2 linked regions of the Saccharomyces cerevisiae S288C genome follow. The gene in region 2 interacts genetically with the main gene of each other region. Each region holds a gene or a part of one and is shown on either strand. Other genes may lie near its edges.

Region 1 (5,414 bases), on a different chromosome or scaffold from region 2:
GTTCTTGTGAGAATAAACTTGTCTACTAATCGCAAATTTTTCAAGATTAACCTTCCGCACCCATTGAGGTACTAAACTGATCTACCCTACCTTTCCTAAATACCTAATGTCAGGTACATAATGCCAGCGACAGCTCAAAATCACGGGATACTAATTATTAAATAGTAGTAGCTTCTTCTCCACGCACAGTTCGATCGAAGGAGCTAATATTCGGCTTGTCATCTTCCATGGCCAGTAATTTTTTTTATTGTCATTTGGGACTAATGAGATGGAAACTAGAATTGTAGTTATACATCCTGAGGTTTCTATCAACTTGTGTGTCACAACGTTTTATATACTTGAATGCGTAGTAGCAAACCCCGGCAAGACGTAAGTTAACTTGTCAAAGGTACAAGCTTGGTTACAAACAATGTGATATTTCGCTCCAGGATATTTTTGCTTTTGGTGACGCCGGTTGGTTGAAGAGCCCCCATTTATCATGACTCCTACCGCAGTTTTCGTATATCTTGGGCCATAAATTCGAAAATTAAAGACACCACTTAATAACGCAACAAAAAGAACGCAATCCTCAGAAAGAACACACACCAAAAAAAAAAAATGCCTGTTTATGAACACTTATTGCCCGTTAATGGAGCATGGAGACAAGACGTCACCAATTGGCTGAGCGAGGACGTTCCTTCTTTTGATTTTGGTGGATATGTTGTTGGTTCCGACCTAAAGGAGGCCAATTTGTACTGTAAGCAGGATGGTATGCTGTGTGGTGTCCCCTTTGCGCAAGAAGTCTTTAATCAGTGCGAATTGCAAGTTGAGTGGTTGTTTAAGGAAGGCTCCTTCTTGGAGCCTTCGAAGAATGACTCTGGTAAGATTGTTGTAGCTAAAATTACTGGGCCCGCTAAAAACATTCTATTAGCTGAAAGAACCGCCTTGAACATCCTTAGTAGAAGTAGTGGAATTGCCACCGCCTCACATAAGATAATCAGTTTGGCGCGTTCGACTGGTTACAAGGGGACCATTGCGGGGACAAGAAAGACTACACCAGGTTTACGTAGATTAGAAAAGTATTCCATGCTTGTAGGTGGCTGCGACACGCACAGATACGACCTTTCCTCTATGGTCATGCTCAAAGATAATCATATTTGGGCTACTGGTTCTATAACAAACGCAGTTAAGAACGCCAGGGCCGTGTGCGGGTTTGCTGTGAAGATCGAAGTGGAGTGTTTGAGTGAAGATGAAGCCACAGAGGCCATTGAAGCTGGTGCAGACGTTATCATGTTGGATAATTTCAAAGGTGACGGTTTGAAAATGTGCGCCCAAAGTCTTAAGAACAAATGGAATGGTAAAAAGCATTTCCTCTTGGAATGTAGTGGAGGCTTGAATTTGGACAACCTCGAGGAGTATTTGTGCGATGACATTGACATTTACAGCACTAGTAGCATTCATCAAGGCACACCAGTGATTGATTTCTCATTGAAACTGGCTCATTGAAAATGCTTAGGCTTCGATTTTTACTTTTTTTTATTTACATATTCTAAATAAGATTAAGAAGCTACGCGTTACCGATTAATGACACACACGACGATTAGTAACGAAATAAGAAATGAATAATGAGCACTCCCAGGAAGGCCGCCGGTAACAACGAGAATACAGAAGTCTCAGAGATCAGAACCCCCTTTCGGGAGAGAGCCCTTGAAGAACAACGTCTCAAGGATGAGGTACTGATCAGAAATACGCCAGGTTATAGAAAACTTTTATCTGCTTCTACTAAGTCTCATGACATCCTCAATAAAGATCCGAACGAAGTACGAAGTTTTTTACAAGACTTAAGCCAAGTGTTAGCACGCAAATCACAAGGCAACGATACAACTACTAATAAAACTCAAGCACGGAATCTAATAGATGAATTAGCGTACGAAGAGAGCCAACCAGAGGAGAATGAGCTTCTTCGGAGCAGAAGTGAGAAACTGACAGATAACAACATTGGCAATGAAACGCAACCTGATTATACTTCCTTATCGCAAACAGTATTTGCAAAATTGCAGGAAAGAGACAAAGGCTTGAAAAGTAGGAAGATTGACCCGATAATAATACAAGATGTTCCCACGACAGGACACGAGGATGAATTGACAGTGCACTCTCCAGATAAAGCTAACAGTATCTCTATGGAAGTTTTGCGCACGTCGCCAAGCATTGGAATGGATCAGGTAGATGAACCGCCAGTACGTGATCCGGTACCAATTTCCATAACGCAACAGGAAGAACCACTATCTGAAGATTTACCAAGCGACGATAAAGAGGAGACAGAAGAAGCAGAAAACGAAGATTATTCGTTTGAAAACACCAGTGACGAAAATTTGGATGATATAGGCAACGATCCTATCCGTTTAAATGTCCCTGCGGTGAGACGTTCTTCTATAAAACCGCTGCAAATAATGGATCTAAAACATCTTACAAGGCAATTTTTGAATGAGAATAGGATAATATTGCCGAAACAAACGTGGTCTACTATACAGGAGGAATCTTTAAATATAATGGATTTCTTGAAACAAAAAATCGGCACGTTACAAAAACAGGAATTGGTAGATTCGTTTATCGATATGGGTATTATCAATAACGTTGATGATATGTTTGAGCTCGCGCACGAATTGCTTCCCTTAGAACTTCAATCAAGAATTGAAAGTTATTTGTTCTAAAAAAGATACCGTAGAGAAAATAATTAAATAGTGGCAATTTATGTACAGAAAAGAGTAAAAGATCCACAAAATTATCAAGACCTGGAAGAGAAGCCTAGTAACAAACTAACCTGTTCATAAACAGTGAACGTTAAGCCTCCTGAAATACCGACTTTCATAAACCTAAAGATGGAGCCCTTCCAGAATGTGGCCATGCCTTCTTGAACAAATATTCTATACATGCAATTTAAGGTATTTTTATATTCAGTTTTGGCATTTTGACTCATCATCCTTGTTTTTACGACGTCAATGGGCTGAGTCATTGCCACGAGTGTAAAAGATGTGGCTAACCCCGTTATTACTGAGGATGCCTTGTCGTTTCTTGCTTGTAACAACCGTTTAAATGCTGTGTATGCAGTAAATTGAATAGAGGTGTTAGCTATCTGCCTAAATATGGTGGCTGTTGTTCCCTGGACGAACGCAGCAGGGCCTCTTGTTTGATACATGTGTTTTACCGCTGGAAGTAGTTTCTCGATACGAGCCACAGGAGTAGATTTAGTCGCCACCTTGTGAAAGGTTGCCTTTGCGTTAACTACAGGTTGATTCTTCTCTAATTTTTTATGATCGATCATCGCCGATTGGATAAGGGTGGTTTTTATGTTTTCAAAAGGGATAATAAACAAACTTTCTACTATTCCTGTCAACGTACCAGCGATCAAAAGGTTATAACCAGTCAGTCTTTGAAAATTATCATTATTATCAATGTTATTATTCAGGGAGTGGCATAACTTGTCGAACGTAACGAACCTTAAAATAGTCTTACCAAATGCGGCCACGTTTAGGGCAGAGCAGCCAACAAAGTACGACTTAATCTGAGGTAAAATGATTTCGAAAGCGGTACCCTTCGGTTGCAATTGTAAACCAGTCTTTAAGTACTCAAATGGGTATGTCATTGTCGTTTGAAACACAGCAGCTACACTGCCGGCAGTGATTTGCTTGTAAAGGTCAGAGTTCTGCAAACGAGAAAAAAGAGAGCGTTAATAAAATAGCATTAGCGTCTTGGAACGAAACAGTTTACTACTTACCTGGTTAGCCATGTCGGGTGCTGTTCTTACTGCCCTTTTTTTACGATTCGACTACCTGTGAGAGCAATTACTTTTTCAATTATATTCGATTGAAAAATAGCTTAATAAGGCGGAAGAAGTTCCCACTTCTGTTCAAAGCCCTTTAAATTAAACAACCTAATAAAATCAGCAGACGCAAGAAGGAAAAACCTCTGACACCCTTTCCAGAAGTTATGTTGACAAGAAAGTTTGAAATTTTTGGATTAATAAGTCGATTTTATTATGACTAGCGAAGGCGAACTAAACAAGAAGTCGATTAAATCCCTCGAGTGATTGATAACTCCACAACACATTTTGTGCGCCAATCGGTGGGTTAAATACTCGAGCACATCTTTTAGAATAAGTATTCGTATTCTTTTAAGTTGACCAATGCCACAGCATATTTTAGCAATATCCCTTATATTCGTCATTCAAAACGGCTACAAGAAAATGTGTCAAAAAAAAAAGAGAGACTATAATAGCAACATGTTGTTCTTATCAATTGAATCTCCCTTCATTGTTAGTTCAGTTGCTCCAGAGCATCGTACACAAGCATGTCTCACTCACTTACTTCCGTTTTCCAAAAGATTGATTCTTTAAAGCCTCAGTTCTTCAGCAGACTGACTAAGGCTATTCAAATCCCCGCTGTTTCTTCGGATGAATCACTAAGGTCCAAAGTCTTCGATAAGGCCAAGTTTATCTCCGAGCAATTATCACAATCGGGGTTCCATGACATTAAAATGGTGGATCTGGGCATTCAACCTCCACCAATTTCTACGCCAAATCTGTCTCTACCTCCTGTGATTCTGTCTAGGTTCGGCAGCGACCCTTCAAAAAAGACTGTGTTGGTTTACGGTCACTATGATGTGCAACCTGCTCAATTGGAAGATGGTTGGGATACTGAGCCATTCAAGCTTGTCATTGATGAGGCTAAAGGTATCATGAAAGGAAGGGGTGTCACCGATGACACTGGTCCCTTATTATCTTGGATTAACGTTGTGGACGCCTTCAAAGCCTCCGGACAAGAATTCCCCGTTAACTTAGTTACTTGTTTCGAAGGAATGGAGGAAAGTGGTTCTTTGAAATTGGATGAATTGATTAAAAAGGAAGCTAATGGTTACTTTAAAGGTGTAGATGCCGTTTGTATTTCCGATAATTACTGGCTAGGCACTAAGAAGCCTGTTTTGACTTATGGTCTAAGAGGTTGCAACTACTATCAAACCATCATTGAGGGTCCAAGTGCAGATTTACACTCTGGTATCTTTGGTGGTGTTGTTGCTGAACCAATGATCGATTTAATGCAAGTTCTCGGTTCCCTTGTGGATTCTAAGGGTAAGATCCTGATTGACGGTATTGACGAAATGGTTGCTCCTCTAACCGAAAAGGAGAAGGCTCTATACAAGGATATCGAATTTAGCGTCGAAGAATTGAACGCTGCAACTGGCTCTAAGACAAGTTTGTACGACAAGAAGGAAGACATCTTGATGCACAGATGGAGGTATCCTTCGTTGTCCATTCATGGTGTGGAAGGCGCCTTTTCCGCTCAAGGTGCAAAGACTGTCATTCCAGCTAAGGTCTTCGGTAAGTTTTCCATTAGAACCGTCCCCGACATGGATTCTGAGAAACTGACCTCTTTGGTCCA
Region 2 (7,952 bases):
CATTGGTGGTGGTCTGACATATTTTTTAGTGGATGTCATATCAGAGTCCGCTGAGGATGAATCAGTAAATGTATTACCTGACTCAGGTGATGGAGTGCTCAGAGGCGTTCCAACTGATGATGGATACTGCGGAAACTGTGATTGTGGCCCAGGTGGAAAGTACATAGGCGACATTTGATAAGGTGTATACGGAATCATAGATGGGTGTCCGTAAAATGACCAACCAGATGGATTGGCTTGGTTTTGGGTCATCATGCACTGCTGTGGGTACGGCCCATTCTGTGGAGGTGGTACTGAAGCAGGTTGAGGAGAGGCATGATGGGGGTTCTCTGGAACAGCTGATGAAGCAGGTGTTGTTGTCTGTTGAGAGTTAGCCTTAGTGGAAGCCTTATCATATTCTTGAATTTTGGAAGCTGAAACGTCTAACGGATCTTGATTTGTGTGGACTTCCTTAGAAGTAACCGAAGCACAGGCGCTACCATGAGATATATGTGGGTAATTAGATAATTGTTGGGATTCCATTGTTGATAAAGGCTATAATATTAGGTATACAGAATATACTAGAAGTTCTCCTCGAGGATATAGGAATCCTCAAAATGGAATCTATATTTCTACATACTAATATTACGATTATTCCTCATTCCGTTTTATATGTTTATATTCATTGATCCTATTACATTATCAATCCTTGCGTTTCAGCTTCCTCTAACATCGATGACAGCTTCTCATAACTTATGTCATCATCTTAACACCGTATATGATAATATATTGATAATATAACTATTAGTTGATAGACGATAGTGGATTTTTATTCCAACAATTTCTTTACCTGATATTATAACCTTTATCAGTGGTGGATTCCCAACAATTATATGACTATACGCCTTTTCTTACTTAAAAATTTAGAGGAGTACCTTCAGATAATGCTGAGGAACATACCCCTTGTTGATACTGGTATGAACATTCTTAAGACGGGTTCAAACGCGCTATTAGCGATGCGCTAATTTTTTTTAGAATTCAAGCGCCCAAGAGAAGGGACAATGGAATTTTTTGAAATGCATAATAATACTTCATATTTGCTACTAAATTTATCAAGTTTGATATCTATAATTGTAGAATTAGAATATGTAATATTTTGTGATAGAGTAGAAAGCCTTACAGGGTGACACTCAATTTGAAGACACACGGTAAATTCCGTAGCCCGTATTTCTTACCGCCCATTCAATCTTCTAGATACTTCCTTTTTGATGATACTTTCTTGATTACTTCGACTAATATTAAAAGCTCTTATCTCCTGCTCTATGTCATTCAATTCTTCTATCTGATTGTGAGATGTTGAAACCCTATTAACGGCGCTATCATTCTGTAAGCCATTGCCATTGAAAGGTACTTCAATCCACATAACGCCATAAATCTTATCAAAACTGTCTGCAGACATGCTTGTTCCACAAATTTTAAAGTTGTCATCAATTATGTTATTGAAGGAGAATTCCCTGTAAAAGTGATCATTGGCACTAGATATAATAATACCGTTTGTCAAGCGTGATAATTCTAGGTGATAGTCGTCGAATAATATTTCGATCGCCTCTATATCAATATTGTTGGGGTCCAGTTTCTCCATAATCTCAGAAGTTAGCCTATTTTCGTCGACACTCTGTTCCACATAAATTTGATTACCGTCTTTGTCTGATATCAGTTCATAAGATGGTATGTATACTTTTTCCCAAATCCTCGATAACTTTTGTTTGACAATTTCTGCAATGAGTTGGCATGTGATTTCTTTATGGAGAGAAATTATGTAAGACTGGTTTACCTTTCGTACAGAAAAGTGTGGTTGGCATTTATTCTCTCGAAGGGGTGGACGTAGTTGCGGCTGTTGTATTTTTCTTTTCTTGCGGATCATATCCAGTGGTCCATCAGATACATTAATCTCAAGAAGATTAGGTTGACAAATGCATGCGGCAGCCATTAGTCAGTTTTCTGTTTTACGACCAGTCCTATCGAGTTCGGTGCGTTGAGGAAACAAGGGATGGAGTAGTCTTATTGTAGCTTATGAAGGAAATTTTCATTTTTACAAAAATAGAAAGTTGGAAAAAAAAAAAGGCTATAAGATATATCGCAATTATTTTTCCCTTTCTCTTTTGAGTAGGAAAGTTCCCTTTTTTCTATGGAGTTCTCTCGCGTTCTTCTGGGAAATGATTTTTTTTTCCACTGCTTTTGAGAAGTGTGGCGCTATCAATTGCAGAAGGAAAGAGCAAGACATCAGGGACTGATGAACAAGACCAGAAATAAGGGTCTATTTGAATTGAACGTCATATTTGGTTCCTGTGCTTCTAGCCAAATTGCTTTTTTATCATATTTTGTGCTTGTGTGTTTATTTAGATTTAGTTGCGATCAAGTGTAGAAACACATTAAAAACTATGTTGAAAAACATAAAAAGTATTTGCAGATCATTAAACATTAGAATTAACTATTTATCATTAACTATTATATTAGATATTACTAAAGATTAAAATTTGTCATTATATTACAATCAGAACATTCTGTTGTCATAAAGTTCTTCAATTGGTGAAAAATTCCATAAGAGAACAGAGTATACCTCTCCACATTAGAAATCTTAGAATTCCTCTCAGCCATTTTGGTCTGATTCTATAGAGTAGGACACCACAATTATCACCCATAAGATCAGTGCTCTCAGAGTCCAAGCCTTCTGCTTTTTTTATCAATCTTCTTGCGGGGCAGCCACCATTCCAGAAATTCCACTTTTTCACACCGCCGCATAGATTCAATCTATCCAATTTCTTAAACAGGGGGCCACGAGGACCTCCGATATACTTCCATTGAGCTACGCACCATTTCTGTCTTGGATCTCTAGCTGGTAGTTGTTGATCACCCCATCCACCTTGAAAATGCAACCAATCCAAACCGAGAGATTCTTCTCTCTCTGAGGAGGGTGTCACAGTTTTACCATCAAAAGTATAGGAGTAAAAGTTCAAAGATGGATCCCACAGGGGACCACGATCGGTAAAATCACTCAAAGGCATGAAAAAAAAAGGAATGTCATGAGCATGCTGCCCAGCGGATGCATAATTAGCATGCGTGCCTCTAGCACTAAAAATCAACGGTCTTTCCAGTATAGTATCCCCACCATCGTCACTATCTTGCTGTTTTCTTTTCCGTAGTTTCTTAAATTTCTCAACAGCTTCGTATCTGTAGCCTGTTCCACTGGAATGCGCACTCATCCAAAGATATTTTGGAATACCTTTATAAAACCGAACCAAAGAGTGTTCCCAGTCACCGACGTGATTGCCCCAGGGTCCATGGCCCATAATAAAAGGGCCATGATTGAATGGGTAGAAGAAAAACCAGAACGCATCAACCCACCCGTTCCCCTTGTCGACTACGATCAGAATAGCAGGCGCCTTAGAGTTGTAGCCTGTTCCGTATTCGGGTAGATGACCGAGCAACCATTTAGGGTCCTTGTCGAAATCGTCCAAACTGGTTAAAAATACCTCGCTACTGGGGATATGCGTTTCCGTTTTGTTGCCAAATAAATCTACGTGGTATTCCGCCTTCAAGTCATGCAGTGTCAAATTTTCATGAGTGGATATAGAATTGCCGTTTTTATCTTTAATTTGGAAGTTTTGAACGTACTCAGCAATGTCCGATGGCCAATATTTCTCTTCGCTATACAAGTGCACTAAGGGACAATGATTGATGACATAAGATGGAATCTCTCCAGGCGTATGCAGACTTCTCTGATCATCTGTCACATCTGTGGAATTTAGTATGGGCGGCAATTGGCCGTCGACTTTGAATCTGTTCCGTTGACCCATGGCCATGTCTCTTTTCATCAAAGGCTCTAACGGATCATAATCTTTCAATGGTGGAAGGACAAGCGCCCGTATGACGCTTAGATCTACTATTAAGAACCATAACAATATTCGCGCTAGTACGCAATGCATTCGCTAACTGAATTGAAGTTTGCTTTACCTATTGAGTACTTTATCAAAGCTGCCTTCTTTGTCATTGACGGTAGCTTCAAAAGAAAAGGAAAGTTCAATTGTTAGTTCTATTATAAAGAAGAGAAATTTCAATTTTACATATTCGGAACTTTCTCTTTTTTCATTCGGCTAGTACAACTACGTAGAGAGTATATCTCGCATCCGTCGTATGAGTAACGAGTTATGCTTTCCTTCAAAAGAAGGGTTCTTCCTTTTTCACTTTTTTCTTCTTCCTATTTACACGTAGGACAGCGAATACGGAGTCATGAAACCTTAATAATGCGCTGTTTTTTATTTTTTCTAAGTTTCAATTTGATTTTGTCGTTTCCGTCATAGCCATATAACTAAATTGAGATATAAACTATTTTTATTTTTCCGAGAACGGCCACTGCTTTGGGGCATGCATTATACGATTTCTCGAGAATCCGGTGAAAGCGTATACCCAAAAGAGCAACATAATTGACTGACCCACAATTTGGTTAGAGACATGCTATGCTGATCCTGCATATCTCAAACAGGCAATATGATAACATACATAAGCAATCTCGGCTACGCGGATTTTGTGTGGGTCTGAAAAAAAAAAAAAAAAAAAAAAAAAATAGCGCGGAGCCGGGTGAGAACGTTGGACGGGTAACATAAAAACAGAGCTCTTTATATAATCAAGCATTCCCTCCATACAAAATGTGTCTGCAGCCACGTGCAAAGTACGGTCGTCGTGTGCTAAAGACCAGTAAGTACAGTCTAGCGGGCCTCTGACTAGCTTCTCTGTGCTTGGCGAGGGGTTTACTGGAGCCCAATCGGACTAGCCGGGCTTCGTCACTGCGGCAATGTCTTCGCCCAACGGATCGGAACAGCTCACTGATTTCACCCAAACGGGAAAAAGGAAAAACAAAAACAAAACAGAACGGCGTAGTTTCCGGCAGCCATGATGATCCCTGATCCATAGAGCCATTTTTTTCATTTATTTCCTAATGCATTTTGTTCATATTCTGGATCTGCGTTAAACGCTGTAAAACTGGCTCGTTTCTTTTATATATCTTGCAATCATTCGCTGCTCAACCATCCTAGTCTCTTTTTACACGTACCCTTTTTCCACTTTTTCTTTTAGTTTATATATTCTTTTCGCCTAAGAACATTTGTCTTTGTAATCTACTTAACTTAGCAATTGTCAGCTGTCCTGTTACAACCTGTTCTCCAAAGTGAATACAATAAGCAGTATTTGCTCTTTTTCGTCTAGGTGCGTTGATCTAATCTTCTTTTTATTTTTCTTCTTCGTTCAGCCTTTTTTGTCCTCACCGGTAGCGTTCACCCTAATTCTTTAATTGTCATACCCATAATTATACTACAAATTTCGTGGTCTAGTTTTCTAATATAACTAATTACTTTCTCCCTTCTTACTTCATTATTTTAATTTTGCATTAGTACTCCTCTAGCCAAAGATAAACAGAAATGAACAGACAGGAATCCATAAATTCGTTTAATTCAGACGAAACATCTTCGTTGTCTGATGTAGAAAGTCAGCAGCCGCAACAATATATCCCTTCAGAGAGTGGATCTAAATCCAACATGGCTCCTAATCAACTGAAGTTGACCCGGACGGAAACCGTGAAGTCATTGCAGGACATGGGTGTGAGCTCCAAAGCCCCCGTTCCTGATGTTAATGCTCCTCAATCTAGCAAGAATAAGATTTTTCCTGAAGAATATACTTTAGAAACCCCTACAGGTTTAGTTCCTGTCGCCACTCTACATTCCATAGGTAGAACTTCTACTGCGATTTCCCGTACGAGAACTAGACAGATCGATGGCGCTTCTTCGCCTTCTTCTAATGAAGATGCTTTAGAAAGTGATAATAACGAAAAGGGTAAAGAAGGCGACTCTAGTGGTGCGAATGACGAAGCTCCAGATCTAGATCCGGAAATTGAATTCGTTACCTTTGTGACTGGCGATCCAGAAAACCCCCATAACTGGCCTGCATGGATCCGTTGGAGTTACACTGTCCTACTGTCAATCTTAGTTATTTGTGTCGCCTACGGGTCTGCTTGTATCAGTGGTGGGTTGGGAACCGTTGAAAAGAAATACCATGTAGGTATGGAAGCCGCTATTTTATCGGTTTCTTTAATGGTTATTGGGTTCTCGCTGGGTCCTTTGATTTGGTCTCCTGTTAGTGATCTTTACGGTAGAAGAGTTGCTTACTTTGTTTCTATGGGTCTTTATGTCATCTTCAATATCCCTTGCGCCTTAGCTCCAAATCTAGGTAGTCTTTTAGCTTGTAGATTTTTATGTGGTGTTTGGTCATCATCTGGTTTGTGTTTAGTTGGTGGGTCTATTGCCGATATGTTCCCAAGTGAAACAAGAGGTAAGGCTATTGCTTTCTTCGCTTTTGCTCCTTACGTTGGTCCCGTTGTTGGTCCACTAGTTAACGGTTTTATTTCCGTTTCTACCGGACGTATGGACCTGATTTTCTGGGTCAATATGGCCTTTGCAGGTGTTATGTGGATCATATCTTCTGCCATCCCAGAAACGTACGCTCCAGTTATCTTGAAGAGAAAGGCTGCTAGATTAAGAAAGGAAACTGGTAATCCCAAGATTATGACTGAGCAGGAAGCGCAAGGTGTCAGTATGGGTGAAATGATGAGGGCTTGTCTGTTGAGACCTTTGTACTTCTCTGTCACTGAACCTGTTCTAGTTGCTACTTGTTTCTACGTGTGTTTGATTTACTCTCTACTATATGCGTTCTTCTTTGCCTTCCCTGTCATTTTCGGTGAACTATATGGCTACAAAGACAACCTTGTGGGTTTGATGTTTATTCCTATTGTTATCGGTGCTCTTTGGGCGTTAGCCACAACTTTCTACTGTGAAAACAAGTATTTACAAATTGTCAAACAGCGTAAACCTACTCCTGAAGATCGTTTGCTAGGTGCTAAGATCGGTGCTCCATTTGCTGCAATTGCTTTATGGATCCTGGGTGCTACCGCTTATAAACATATTATTTGGGTTGGTCCAGCTTCAGCTGGTTTAGCTTTTGGTTTCGGTATGGTGTTGATTTATTATTCATTGAATAATTACATTATTGATTGCTACGTCCAATACGCATCCAGTGCTCTGGCTACAAAGGTTTTCTTAAGATCCGCCGGTGGTGCTGCCTTCCCCTTGTTTACCATTCAAATGTACCACAAATTGAATCTGCACTGGGGTTCTTGGTTGTTGGCTTTCATCTCCACTGCTATGATTGCTTTACCTTTTGCATTTTCTTACTGGGGCAAAGGTTTGAGACATAAGTTATCCAAGAAGGATTATTCCATAGATAGTATTGAATAAGAGTAACGATTTTACGAATCGAGCATAATAATGAAAAATTATAGTAGTAGTAATGATAAAAACATAAGCAAACATAAGCAAACATAAGCAAACATATCAAACATGCATTCAAACCATTATCCGACAGTAATGTACATATATTTTTACGTATTTTACATTCTTTCTCTATTGTTCTTTTATCTATTGCTATCCTAAACAAATATATTGATTGACCTTCAAACCGTGAGTAACTTTATTAATTTATATGTATAGAAAAAAAAAAAAATTGAATTAGAAATTTGAACTTCTCAAGTTCATTCTTCTTGTACCTATGCGATGACTTTATTTTCGGTTTTTACATTCCTCCTCATTTGACCGAGGAATACGAATTTGATTGACCCCCACTCACTAAACAAAGGGTCGGAATTCTTTTCCACTTTAAAACTTAGTAATAACAACAAAGTCAACAAAATAGTCCTATTGCAAAATTGCAGGTTCCTTAATTAATATTCTTAAATGATCATCAATAGGCGTATTTTGAAATCTTTTGAAGAGATAAGTCATTCATTAGAGGAATCACTACGAGAGGTTGCATTTGATTCACAGCAACAATTGATTCAAGACGTACGTGAGGAAAATGAAGAACTAAGT

Evidence for each region. Genes that interact genetically often act in the same process or in processes that back each other up.
Region 1: mutations in TDA6 (region 2) and MRX20 together harm fitness more than expected from each alone (negative genetic interaction), as found in Saccharomyces cerevisiae (one large-scale study listed by BioGRID).

The regions. Positions count from the first base shown.
Region 1 is NC_001138.5:240,350-245,763, reverse strand, and holds MRX20 (Mrx20p), read right to left. Parts: upstream 3,767-5,414; coding exon 3,755-3,766; intron 3,683-3,754; coding exon 2,765-3,682; downstream 1-2,764. Other genes in the region: BNA6 (nicotinate-nucleotide diphosphorylase (carboxylating)), read left to right, coding at 598-1,485; centromere-binding protein CNN1, read left to right, coding at 1,605-2,690; DUG1 (metallodipeptidase), read left to right, coding at 4,327-5,414.
Region 2 is NC_001148.4:837,279-845,230, reverse strand, and holds TDA6 (Tda6p), read right to left. Parts: upstream 3,966-7,952; coding exon 2,562-3,965; downstream 1-2,561. Other genes in the region: YPR158W-A (gag protein), read right to left, coding at 1-522; CUR1 (Cur1p), read right to left, coding at 1,211-1,969; TPO3 (spermine transporter), read left to right, coding at 5,454-7,322; NCA2 (Nca2p), read left to right, coding at 7,818-7,952. UniProt on the Saccharomyces cerevisiae protein: Involved in vacuolar protein sorting.